Caenorhabditis elegans: one gene and its partner. The protein of the gene in region 1 interacts with the protein of each later gene in a pairwise test. Each region holds a gene or a part of one and is shown on either strand. Other genes may lie near its edges.

Evidence for each region. The genes of interacting proteins can lie anywhere in the genome.
Region 2: the proteins of F17E9.5 (region 1) and wdfy-2 interact in a two-hybrid assay, tested with the Caenorhabditis elegans proteins (one large-scale study listed by BioGRID).

The regions. Positions count from the first base shown.
Region 1 is NC_003282.8:8,344,214-8,351,474, forward strand, and holds F17E9.5 (DUF7087 domain-containing protein), read left to right. Parts: upstream 1-1,604; 5' UTR 1,605-1,669; coding exon 1,670-1,750; intron 1,751-1,883; coding exon 1,884-2,291; 3' UTR 2,292-2,333; downstream 2,334-7,261. Other genes in the region: lgc-5 (Neurotransmitter-gated ion-channel ligand-binding domain-containing protein), read left to right, coding at 1-79, 120-272; F17E9.18 (Neuropeptide-Like Protein), read right to left, coding at 2,678-2,827, 2,878-2,934; F17E9.15 (uncharacterized protein), read left to right, coding at 3,210-3,266, 3,315-3,515; F17E9.4 (TransThyretin-Related family domain), read left to right, coding at 4,174-4,343, 4,392-4,494, 4,680-4,780, 4,829-4,880.
Region 2 is NC_003280.10:9,315,927-9,322,378, forward strand, and holds wdfy-2 (WD repeat and FYVE domain-containing protein 2), read left to right. Parts: upstream 1-3,938; 5' UTR 3,939-3,951; coding exon 3,952-4,015; intron 4,016-4,086; coding exon 4,087-4,288; intron 4,289-4,343; coding exon 4,344-4,690; intron 4,691-4,861; coding exon 4,862-4,979; intron 4,980-5,099; coding exon 5,100-5,459; intron 5,460-5,505; coding exon 5,506-5,662; 3' UTR 5,663-5,952; downstream 5,953-6,452. Other genes in the region: csa-1 (WD_REPEATS_REGION domain-containing protein), read right to left, coding at 1,762-1,839, 1,891-2,191, 2,247-2,438, 2,667-2,900, 2,945-3,031, 3,076-3,222, 3,503-3,546; Ras-related protein rab-39, read right to left, coding at 6,142-6,285, 6,335-6,448. UniProt on the Caenorhabditis elegans protein: Plays a role in coelomocyte endocytosis.

The DNA.
Region 1 (7,261 bases):
AACCAGTTCTGTATCCAGTATGGATGTTCCCGAGAACATCATTGCGCCTGTTTCTCTTCTGAAGTCGTCATTACATAAGGTAAACCACCATGATTTGAACATTAATTGATATATTTTAGACTGCGTTTCTTGTTCGTGACACTCTGCAAGAAATGTCTCGCATTAATGAAAATCAGTTGCTCTGGCTCAAAATTCTGGATAAAACTGATCTAATGTGTCTTATTCTGTTTCAAGTTGCCAATGTTGTAATAACAATTGTATATTGGAAATAAAAATCAAAAATAACTTTCAATAAATTTATATTTACCCGTTTAAAAAATTTGATCAATTCATAGGGATAGATAGTCCTAGTGGCAAAAATTGGGTACTTGTTTGACAGTAAATTAAAAAATATTTAAAACGTCTCTAAAGCACCCTCAAAACAAATGATCGGTTTTAGTGAAGAATAATTTATATTAACAACTTTCCTGCGCGAGAACATGGAATGTTTGGACTTTTTTAGAGTATTGTTTTCTGCGGGGTTGACAAATTTTCAAGAGTCCCTAGGCCTTCTACAGTGCCGGCCATAATTCTATCCAATTTTAGTTTTTTGACAATAACTTGTTTCAAAGTGATTCGTTTGAGTTGAAAATTCACTATAATATGAAAATGATCAAAACATAACTATTACTGCAAGAATTATAAAAAAAGCAAAATTTAAAAAAATTTCGGGGAATTTTCAAAAATTCGAAAAAGTGAAAATTATCTAAATTCTGAAAATAGGTTCTTTGTGAACTGGATCGGTTTTATCTGTCTACGAAACTGTCATTAAACTAGTAAATGAATCTTTGTGAATTTATTTTTGGCAATTAAAACTTAGGTGTCACGTGACAACAGACCATAAGCTTACCTGCAACTTGCAAGTGCTTGAAAATGGAAGAGTCTTTCTATTTTCAGTCATTGTGGCTATGAAATCAGTCTCATTCATTTTTAAATTAGGTTTTCTACATTGTTCAAGACTATTCTATTGATTTTGTATAATGTTTCTATCTATCTCGCTGGATATAAGCATCGCAGAGACACTCAGTGCTTACCAAGTATGTCAATTTTTGTCTTTGCCGCCTTGGTAAAGCTACCCTAACCCCCTTTTTTTCTAATGTGTGCAAAAAGTCAAGCAGTCAGAGTGAGGGATGGTAAAGCTATCGCACCTGCAGCAAACTAACTTCAAAATAAATTATGGTTTTATAAATTAGGGTAAATTAGGTTTTGGTTTTCTCAAATGTTTTTTTTCCGCAAACGTTATTGGATTTGGCCTATATATATTCTCCAGGCCAACTAGAAAGCATTCAGCTGGCTAAAAACACGCGGTTATCGGTATATTCATAATTGAACAAGGCTTCCCTCAAGTGACTAAAAAAGCTTGTTTAATTACATGAAACGGATGAACTAGAAATTCTTTAATTTCTTTTTCGATGACCGTGATGTTTTACTTTATTTCAAAAATAATTCCAAAAAACATCCAGAAACTTTTTTATAAAGGTTGTTTTTTCTCCGCTTCAACCTCGACCTTTCTTTATCTCCACGGTCAATCTGCCCTAGATCCGTCCGTATAAAAGATCGGAAAATGTGTAATTCAAATCAGTCTCTGCTCGAATCACCGATTCTCTACTCACTCGACTACTTCTCTGCAATGGATCAAATCCCACCGTACGAGTTCAATAAGTACGTGCTCTACGCTCGTGGTGCCGTCATCGTGTGTGCTTCATTTGAGGTTCGTTCTGTGCCGTTCGTGGTCCTCGGAGGACTGGTCCTGGTTTTTAAGGGCTGGCCTCTAAAGACTTGTCCTGGCTCTTGGTCTTTTGCCCGTTTTCCAGAATGTATAGAACATCATGAAATATTTGCAGCTCCTGATGGTTCTGTTCGGTTCCCTCGGCGATTGCAATTTCCTTGCCAAGCTATTCTACTTCATCTTCCTCGGTGGAGCAGTTGCCGTCTCATCGCACAACATTGCTCTCAACATTGATGGTCGCGAGGAGATCAACAAGGTTCTTACCTCGTCTGACAATGAAGTTCGTGGAAAGTCTGCCGCATTGGTTCTTGTCCCAGCTCTTGCTGGTATCTTCGTCTTCTTGTGTGTTTCTGGGCATGCATTCTTCTCACTTTTCGTGCTCATCCACGTGCTCGCCGCTGTTGGACAACTCGGAATTGAAGCTTATGAGTTCAAGAAGGGACAATCTGGAGCTCCAGCACAAGACCCAGCCGCCACTGCACCACCAGCCCAGGATCCAGTTGCAGCTCCACCAGCACAGTAGAAAGAATACTTGGGGGTTTTTGAAATAAAAGTTTTTACTTGCTCTTTTTGATCAGGAATGTAATCTGCAAATTCTGCTAGACTCGGTCGCCAAAAAACCTGGAAAAACTAAGTGCTCTTTTCTACTGTAGTTTCAGAAGAGTGAGCATCTTGTTGTAAGAGTAATATTTTGTTGTGGTTAGTCCGAAGAGAGGCTTCTGTGATTACTTAAAAACTATCGTAACTATCAACTTTTTGAGCAAATACTGGGTTATTGGAGTACTTTAGTATGATTGCTGTTCGTTTCGCTGGGTTATTTCAAGGATTCTCGCAAACTGGAATAATTCAAACACTTTCTAAATGCTCAATAATCTTTATTATTAGTTCCAACTCCAACAAGAGAAACATTCATTTTCTTCCCCATCCAAGTGGAGTCGGTGGACGATAGATGGTATGTCTTGCATTTGCAGATGGGATGAAATTGAATGAACTTGGCTGAGGAGCTCTTCTAGCTGGGTTGAACAGTGATGGTAGAATTTGATTAGTTGGAATGAATTGCTGTAAAGTATTATACGTTTCTTTTGCTTGAAAGTTTGAAATCAGCCTACCGCGGAAACCGAGAAAATGGCGAAAGCAAGGAAGATGCAGGCGGTGAACAGTTGCATTATGAGATGCGCTTTTTGGACTTCACCGAAAAATGGTAAATTTATATGAAAACATTTACGAGCTCCCTCCGATTGTAGTGTTCAAAAACATAACAGGTTTCATAAAATATTCTGACCCCTCCGACAATCGAGAAAACTCTAAACATTTTAACTACACCCCTTTGATTTTTTTGAGAAGAAATCAAATTTTGCAGTGGTTTTTTCGGAGGGACCTCATCAAACTGGGAATATAAAAGAACGCGTTTTGTGTAGTATCATTAGCAAAGTCTTTGAAAATGCAAATATTCAATGCCTATATCTTCCTTGTCTTCACAATTTGCTCAGTTTCTGCGGTAAGTTTTAAATGATCAAACTCAAATAATATTATATTATTCAATCAGCAATTCTATCCATGGTCAATGGCTTTTCAACCAGTTGATCACATTGAACCATCAATCTTCAATCCAATTCCACAAGCTCCAGAGCCAAATTTGTTCAATTTCATTCCATCTGCAGTTGCACAGCATACTATCTGTGCATACTATATATCAATCGTCCACCAACTCCACTTGGTTGGGGAAGAAAATAAATGTCTCTCTTGATGAAATATATAATAAACATATTCAAGCATTCAGAAAGTCTTTATTTTATTGCACACTCCCCCTAATGTAACAAGTTTAAACCGTTTTACAGTTGTTTTCATCCTATTACGACATTGTTAATACATTTTTTAACATTATAAACTGGAATTTCTGACATGTGTAGTGTTCGTAAGTGTAAGTGTTCAATAAGTAATCACAATTAAAAGTATCTACGAGCAAGATTTCAAAATTATCAAAAACTTTGAATATTATGTTTATATTTCTTGTACGTTCTTTCTAAACTCTGTGCCTATTGGTCGGCCCAAAACAAATCGTTAAAAAAACAGATGAACACTTGGATAATATAGTTTCAATTGCGAGTCCCTGATGAACCTGTGACTCAAAGTGAAGTTCCTCGCAATCTGCTGACACTCTGAAAAGGGTCGCGGGTCGATCCATGTTTACGCCTAACAAGTTAGAAAGCTACAATTTTTGCGAATCCCATCCAATCATGCAATCTCTGCCTTTGTTTTGTTTTGTTGTCAATGTTCTTGAAATGTGATTTTCTGAAATGTTGTGGAAATCATCATGTGAACGCATCATTTTATTTTCCAATCTCAGTCATCTTTTCCCCGTATAAAAGATTCTTCTAAAGTTTTGTTTCTACATCATATACAAAATGACGGGATTCTCAAGTGTATTCCTAAGCATTCTTTTTTGTATTTTCTTCCCATACGTTGTCTATTCGGCCAGTTCTACAAAATTCAATTTCTCTGGAACAATCACATGTAATGCCACCATGAAAGATTCATTTGTCGAGAAGCTGCAAGTATGGGAACATGATAAAGCGTTAGTTTGAATATAAATTTTTATGAAAATCTATTGAAAATATGTCAGAACACCAAATGATATGATAGGAGAGGTAGCACAATTTATTAAAGACAAATCTGGTTTCTTTTATAAAGTTGACGCAGAAGACAATGGGGATGGACTATTTGATGTAGGTATTGTTGTGATTCTAAAATTTTGCTGTGACTTATAGGAGGAGTAACGGTTGAGATGATTTGGAACGTAATTAATGGAATTTTAATTAATTTCAAAGTACCCACATGTTTTGTCTATGTGTTCAAAATACTCAGAACTGTTACATGTTCTTTAAAACCAATTTTAATTGTGTCGTTTCAGAATGATTATGAAATTTACTTCACTATCTATCACAATTGTACAGAAAAACGAACTGGAGATGATGTGACTGTTTATGTTAAGGATTTCCTTGTGATTGATGGGTAATTCTTGCTTGTTTTCAGTATTTTACAGAAGAACTACCGTTCCAGAGCCTACAATCACACAATGGATATCAATTTGAGTGACTTGACAAAACACTAAAGGAAAAACTAAATATGTGTTAATAGATTGACTGAAAATATTAGCATCTATGTTTAATAAAACAATTTTGTTACCCATATTTTCTACAATCAGCCAAATAACCTTTCGGCCATCATTCCGAAAACCTGAAATGCTCGGAAACTGTCCTTTCGACCGAAAACAGGCCAAGCAGATACTGTAGTAGAATATCAAGTAGTTGAAAAACGTTTGGAAGTTTGGAATACTTTCAATTTTATTAAATAAATATTAAAATTCGTTGCCTTTTACATTTCCTTTTTTTCGGATTTTCCTGTTTTCGGCCGAAAGGACATTTTCCGAGCATTTCAGGTTTTCGGGGCAAATACTCATTGACTCCAAAATCATTGACTACCTGTGCTCATTGCCTTCCTGTTCTCATTGCCTACTCTTTCTCATTGCCTACCCTTTGCTCATTGTCTACTCGTTTTCTTCATCAGTCAAGAGGCACGTACAAGGACCGTATTCCAAGAATACATCAAAGATACATCTACTCAATTTGTTCATTCATTCAAAGGGTATATATATTTACAATCTTTCAATCTGTACACAACATTTCGGGCAACAATTAATAGTAGATGTCATGTTTTAATTTATATTAATTTTGATAGGACACGCAAAGGCTGGGCAACATTCATTATCCATCAACATTAATAGCAACAATAGCAACAAAAAAACAATTAAAAATTTGAAATAAAAAGTCTGGAGTTGATAGTGGCTTTCGATCTAAAAATGAAATAACCTCCAAAACTCTCTAAACTGAGTATTTTCAAACTGGCGTATCTCAAAAAATACACATCTGGATAACAAACGTCCAACTAACAAAATGATCAGAAATATTTTTTCTTTCTAATTCAATAGTTTTTATTTCAATACACCAACTTTTTGTAGAGTTACACGGAGTCAAAGCCATTTTACCAATTTTCAAAAAAATTTTAAGAAGTCTTTTGTTGTACCCTTTATAACTCAACTTTCATTAATTTTCAGAAGATAAATTTTGTTGAATAGTGAGTGAAAAATATTTTTCCACATTTTACCAGTTTCAAGTTTTCGGATATTTTCATGTTTCGCCAAGTTACAGACCGTTTTTCAAAAAAAATCCAATTTCGCTTATAAAAATCTTCATATTCAACGTATCGACTTGAAATTTTGAGAAATGATCACTTTTTTGATGTCTCTACAATGTCCTAAAAAATCTTTCAAAAAACACTGTCCATCTCCAAAATCGTCCTTCGCTCCGAAAAATGAAATCGGACTTTTGCTTTTCGAGAAATGTGCGAAAAAATCAAAGTGGCTTAGTGGCTGTGGGTCGATCTAAAAATGAAATAACCTCCAAAACTCTCTAAACTGAGTATTTTCAAACTGGCGTATCTCAAAAAAAAACCAACTTTTTGTAGAGTTACACGGAGTCAAAGCCATTTTATCAAAATTCACAAAAAATTTTAAGAAGTCTTTTGTTGTACCCTTTATAACTCAACTTTTATTGAATTTCAGAAGATAAATTTTCTTGAATAGTGAGTGAAAAATAATTTTCCACATTTTACCTTATAAAAATCTTCATATTCAACGTATCGACTTGAAATTTTGAGAAATGATCACTTTTTTGATGTCTCTACAATGTCCTAAAAAATCTTTCAAAAAACACTGTCCATCTCCAAAATCGTCCTTCGCTCCGAAAAATGAAATCGGACTTTTGCTTTTCGAGAAATGTGCGAAAAAATCAAATTGCGATTTTTGGGTCGAAAAAAATATTTTTAGAAAGCTGAGACCACGCTATTTACGAATTTCATGTTTATTTTGAGTGATTTCTTCTCTTAAACGACCTAAAAACTAAACAAAAATAACATAATTTTTATTCTCACGTGTAATTATTTGGTAATTTGCTCAGTGTTTCAATTGTTTTAATGCAAATTTAAAAAATTTCACGTGAGAATAAAAATTATGTTATTTTTGTTTAACTTTTAGGTCGTTTAAGAGAAGAAATCACTCAAAATAAACATGAAAATAGCGTGTTCTAAGCTTTCTAAAAATATTTTTTTCGACCCAAAAATCGCAATTTGATTTTTTCGCACATTTCTCGAAAAGCAAAAGTCCGATTTCATTTTTCGGAGCGAAGGACGATTTTGGAGATGGACAGTGTTTTTTGAAAGATTTTTTAGGACATTGTAGAGACATCAAAAAAGTGATCATTTCTCAAAATTTCAAGTCGATACGTTGAATATGAAGATTTTTATAAGCGAAATTGGATTTTTTTTGAAAAACGGTCTGTAACTTGGCGAAACATGAAAATATCCGAAAACTTGAAACTGGTAAAATGTGGAAAAATATTTTTCACTCACTATTCAACAAAATTTATCTTCTGAAAA
Region 2 (6,452 bases), on another chromosome or scaffold:
TGAGAGAAATAGAGAAGATTGTCAGATGATGTGATTGACATGGGGCAGCAGTGGAAGGGTGTCTTGTGAAAACCCGCAAAACTTGAGAACAGATTGACAATAAGGTTTGATAAATGACCAGGAACGTCTAGTACGAATCGGTTTTTTTTGGAATGAGCAATTTACAGTTGAAATGATTTTTGATGCATTTTCTTTCCGAAATATTAAAGATCCTCCATTTCAAAATTAGGAATTGGAAAGAAAAAGTGTTGCATAAGTGTTAAAATTTTGCAGAATGATCTTCACAAACCATATGTTAAACATGGAACGGGAAAATGTTTGGGGGCTCTCGGAGCAAGTAGTCATCATCCACTTGACATTGTTCTCTTGGATTGACACACTTCACACTCAATGATAGGTGAGTGTGGGAAGAGTAGAATAGAGATGGTTTTAGGGTGGAAGAAATGGTTTTTCGGAATTTTTACTCAAAAAAATTATGCTATCAATCTGGCAGCGTATTTTCCCAGTAAGTAGCGCAAACAATTTTTGCAATTAATAATTTAATAGTACTGTATTTTTTGCTCGTTTATTATATGAGACTCCTAAAACAATTGGCGTTTTCTAATACAATACGAGAATACGTTGCTGAGATAAAATGTAAGATCAAAATTAGATCAAGAAAACTGAAATGATATATTTATACTACCGTATATTTTCTATTAGTATTGCACATATAAGTTGTTATAACTACTTAGATTTCAAAGATTATATTTCGGCTCATTTAGGAGATAAAAAAAACAAAGTTCATTCTTTAAAAAATTCAGAAAATAGGCGGTAGGCGGTTAGGTTCGCCTGAACACGTACCTGCCTACTTGGCAAGCCCCAGAGAAAACGATAAAAATACGTGAGTTTGTGATAAAACATAATATCACTTTGGAATGTTTCACTGGCGGATTCGGAAGGAAAAGACTAGAGAAGGGAATCGAATCACCAAACAGACACTAATCATGTGTGCACACACGATGACCCCCCTCCCATCTCAGGTGTATGAGTCTCAGGCGTGTGTCTTCTCCTGTTTCGCTTTTGTTAACATTACGTAACAGGAGCACACAATTAGAGCATATGTGCAATTATGTTCACACCTTTTATATCGTATAAAACAATGGTGTCGAGTGAATAGAACACGGGGACAGGTCACCTTGATGTACTTAAATGGACTAGAAAATATTGGTTCGCATTGTTTTCAAACAAGAAATCAGGTATCTTGTCAAAAAAAAGTTCTAAACAAAATAAATAATCTATCCAAAAATATATTTCATAAGCTACAATATTCTAGAGTGATACATTGTACATTACTGAACTTTCTCCAATTACAGCAAAACTTCAATGCTTCTTGCCTGCCTGCCTAGAAGCCTACCTACGACCTATTGTTTGAATTTTGGCGTGAATTATGTTGTTTGTTGTTTGCACTGTTTAGTTTTATGTTGCTTGAACTCATTTAAGTTTCGAACATTGAATTCAAACGTGAAAAATGTTTTTGTGTAGTTATGAAGTAGGCACAAATTAGACGTAGGCCACCTTGAAGGCAGGCGCGAGCTTTTGTGCCTACATCTGATGTTTACTAGATTAATTTTGAAGTGCTTGAGTGACAATTTTAGAAAATATTCATTCATGTGCATATGCATCTTTAAAAATCGTATTAAAACTCGTAAAAAATTTTGCGACCAGAAAATAAAAATTAAAGAATTTTATAAAATGTGTTTTCTTTTTGGTTGCGACCTGCTATACTTCGTCTTGATCTTTGGTTGATCTGTCAAGGGATAAAATATTCAGATGATTGTAGTTGAAGCCTGTGATTATCTGAAACAAAAATCACCCAGTTTCATTCTTGAACAACTTTCAGTATCCTACCTCATAGCTTGATTTTCGAAAAATGAAGGGCTTATCCCACAACACTTTTGCTTCAACTTCTCGAAAATCTGGATTTCTTCTTGATTTATCATTATCAGAAAACCGAATGATCGTCAGTTTTTCAAAATTCGTTGCCACATAAAAATCCTTCTCATATATAAATTCCAAATTTGGACGACGCTGCATAAGTGGATCGAATTCACAGGAAAAATCAAATTTTGTGCTGAAATCCCACGTATCTGCCACATGAATGTACCCCGATCTATCGGCAGAGATGAGACGATGTCCATCGGCAGATATTCTGGAATTTATGAGATTTAGAATACCTTCAATTTAAAGTTTTGAAAATAAAGTACTTTAGTCCATAAATTTGTGATTTGTGAAGAGATTTCTCAGCAATTGCTCCACGTGTGCTCCGAATATCAAATAGTCCAATTGTTCCATCTCGTCGTCCTGCATATAAGTAATGATGTTTTGATGGATACCACTGTACAACATCAATTGGTTCATCATTCCAATATATCGATTGAGGTAGATCCATTCCGACTCTGAAATGATATTTATTTTGAAATATAAAATGTTAATTAATTTTAATTAAATTTTAAATTTTGAAATAATTCATAAAAATTTAAGACAAGAGGTTCGACCAGGGGAAATTGTAAGACCAAAGTTTTAGAAAGTTAGGCAGTCATAACAAAATATAGCTCTTGTTCAATACAAGATCCACTAGCCTTCAGGCACGTAGGCAGGCATTTCGTGGAACTTTTAAAGCTTACCTAAAATCTATAATTTTCATTGATCTCCCTCCATCTGCCACGGCAACTTTTGAATTTGTCATATTATACTCATTCCAATCAAAATAAACATCTCCTTCAAATTGTTTCCCATGAACCACTTTTTCCATGGTACTATCACAAACTCGCATCCAATTTGATGCTGTTGTAACCATGAAAAGGCGAAGATCGATTGGACACCATTTTATTGTTTTCAGAGATTGCTTCGCAAGTTTTCTGAAATCTTGATAAATTTTAGAATTATTGCGGTTGTTACATACAGAGTCATAGGTTTCTTCCACTTTTTACGATCCAAGTATTTATATTTGGCAACTGACACTGAACCACTATGAGATCCAAATAGTAGCCTGAAAAATCAATTTTTTTTAAACAAACTCCTAATTAAACCAACATTTGGTCACCATCATCTATATCAATCGCACTAATATCTTCTTGATGGCCTTTCCCCGTCTGATCACAACCCATAGGAATATGTTTTGTCCATCGAAAATTCAAAAGAGCCCGTGAAACTTGTTGTTCTTCGAAAACTCGGCGTTTTCTGCAAAAAATTTCAAATATAACTCAAATTTTAAAAAAAATTAGTACAGTAAGAAAATCTAGGCCTGTAAATTCATAAAAGTTTAAAGTCGTTGCGGGACCCGTCTGGTTTTCTGACTCTTGCGCCTTGAAAAAATTGCGGTACTGTCATTTATTTTCTTTATTTGCGCATTTTAACATTAAATTTCTCTATTTTTCTCGTTTGTTTTAAATTTTAATTATGCATTTGCACTTTTTTTTCAAAATTATTACGAAATTCACATAAAAACCGCAAAACTCACTTCAAATCACAGCTGAACATGTACTCCTCGTGACGAACAGTCATTTTCCTGTTGAGAAATTATAGAAACATGCGAATAAATATATTACGATTAAATAAAAAGCTCAAACGTTGCTGTTAATTTGAATATCCTCCTTAAAACAGCCAATGGCCTAGAGTCCACCAAACAAGTTCATTCTCGGCCGCACCGGTTTTCCGTTATTTACCGGGCACTGATTCATCTGTTTCCAGACCGGTTGCAAAATTAGTTTGATAAAAATTTCAATTTCCACAAGGAAATATTTAGTTCAGAAATAGTAACAAAAGTAAAAAAGGTGCAGAAGTGTAAACAAACGGGCGAGAACACGTGGTTTTATCGATTTTTGCTTTAAACATCTGCATTCCGTCCTCTAAACTTTATGTGTCATTTATTGGCATTCAATTTGATTTTCTTTCAGATTTTCAGCCATTATGGCTGCAATAATCAATCAACGCGTCGAACAGGGCGAATCAAGTATGGGAGGAGCCAAACCAGGTTGGTGAATTGAAAACGAACCATTTGATTTCCATAACCTGTGTAATTTTCGAATTTATTTTAATTTTCAGCTCTTCTTCACAGAATCACTGGCCACGTGGCTCGTATCAATGACGTCATTTTACTATCAAAAGACGAAGGAGTCTGGACTGCAAGTGATGATAGATCCGTTCGCCTGTACTTAAAAAGAGATAATGATCAATTTTGGCCGTCAATTCATCATTTCATGCCAGTTGCTCCAACAAGTCTTTATTACAGTGAAGAAACTTATAAGTTAGTTTAAAGTTTAAATCGTTTTATTTTTTAAATTTTTAATTTTTTTATTCAGGCTGCTCGTCGGACTTATCAATGGAAATGTCTATGAATTCAGTGTTGCCGATGACTTTAACAGTATGACAGAATCCCGAAAATGGACATGTCACGCTGGACCAATCTCTGGACTCGGCTTTGCACTCTCCTCCGAGCTCATTTTCAGCTGTTCTCGAGATAAATCTATCGTCTGGCATTGTTCAGAAAATTCAAATAAGATGGGAAGTTATCTTTTGGAAAATAGTTGTACAGCAATGGTCATTGATCTTCCATTTGTATTCGTTGGAGATCATGGTGGGCATGTCACTGTTCTTCGTATTGTCGATAATCAACCAAATCTTGTCAGCAAGCTTAGTGCACATACGAGTGAGTTTTTATCGTATTCTTTTTTTTTGAGTAAAATATTAATTCGAAATTTTAAATGCTATCGTGCCTAGGAAAAATATTTGTTAAGTATAACATTCCAGTATTTCCTGAAATTCCCCACAATCAATACAATTAGTAATTGTGGTTTGAATTAGTTCAATGATTTTTCAGATGCAATCACCTCGCTCACATGGGACGGAAATAAGAAAGTTTTGTATTCTGGAAGCAGTGATCATCTCATCATAATGTGGGATATCGGAGGAGGAAGAGGAGAAGCTTATGAGCTTAAGTGAGTGTATATTTCTGGAATTTACGTGATATTTCGAAAGTGTTGATGTTTTTCGAGCGCAAAAGTTGAATTATATTTAGTTGAAATAGATTTTTCCAAATTAAAAAATGTTTTTTTCAGCGGACACAATGGAAAAGTGACAACACTATGCGCAGCTCCAGCAGCCAAACGTCTGTTCTCGGCTGACGAACACGGAAAGCTCATGTGCTGGGACATGAATTGCAAGAGAGTTGAGACTCCTGAATGGAAAACTTCGGATTGCTGTCAGAAATGCAATCAACCGTTCTTCTGGAATCTTCAAGCAATGTGGCAGAGGAAAGTGGTCGGATTGAGACAACATCACTGCAGAACCTGTGGATCAGCAGTCTGTGGATCTTGCTGTGACAACTGGACCACCTATCCACCAATGGGATATGAGACGAAAATTCGCATTTGTAATGACTGCAATGCACGAATGAAAGATAATCCACAGAATTTCAAGTAAGTTGTAAAGCAAATGACTGATGAAACTTATTTTCAATTTTAGCCTTACTCCACTTGCAATTCCACATGAAATCCATACTGGAATCACTGCTATGCATCTCCAGGAAACTCTCGGACTTCTAGTTACCAGTGGACAGAATCGTGTGATTATGATTTGGGATGTTCGAAGTGTTTGCTCTGCCCCTTCTGGATCACAATAAACAATTGCTTCTACTTCTCGAATTTCTCATAATTCTTTGTATTTCATCTAATTTATTTCCTCTCCTTTCTATTTTGTATATTCACTCTCAAAATGCCCATCCTTCCCCAAGACCAATTGTTGTCAAATCAAGACCTTCTAAAACTTACCAATATTTCCCGATACCCCTGACAGGTTGTCCTGAATAGTGATTGTGATTCTTACTTTTCTTCTAATCCCGATAATTTCCTAGTTTTTCGACTGTAAAATTGTATTTTTACAACAAAGTTTGAAAAAAAATCTTTTTTTTTGAAGTTTTTGGACAGAACGACTAGAAATTATTTCAAAAGAATGCATGCCGGGAGAGTAGGTGAGGTTGGTGACACTGGATGAAGGAGAAAGCTCACAGGAAGTACACAAAATAGCTGAGTTTTTGATGTTTATAAGAACGCTACGCGAAATTATGACTACGGGGAAAATTAAAAAATTGAGGAGAAATTATCAACATCCGCAAGCTCCTGCGCTGCTGTTTTGAGGGAAACTTCTTTCGGATAGGCACACGGATTGTGACCTCATAATACCAGTTTTAAGGCCTTCCCAGCCATCCACGGGCCGCAGTTCTCCGTCGTCGACTCGATTTTGAATCTAAAAATTTGAAAATTACATCATAAAATTGAAACATTTTCAAAAAAACCTCTTGTGCAATCATATGAAAAGCTTCATTAACATTGTCTCCTGTTCTCGACGACGTCTCGATAAACTTCATTTTATGGTACTTGGCAAAGTACTCGCCTTCCTCATAGTTTACCTGA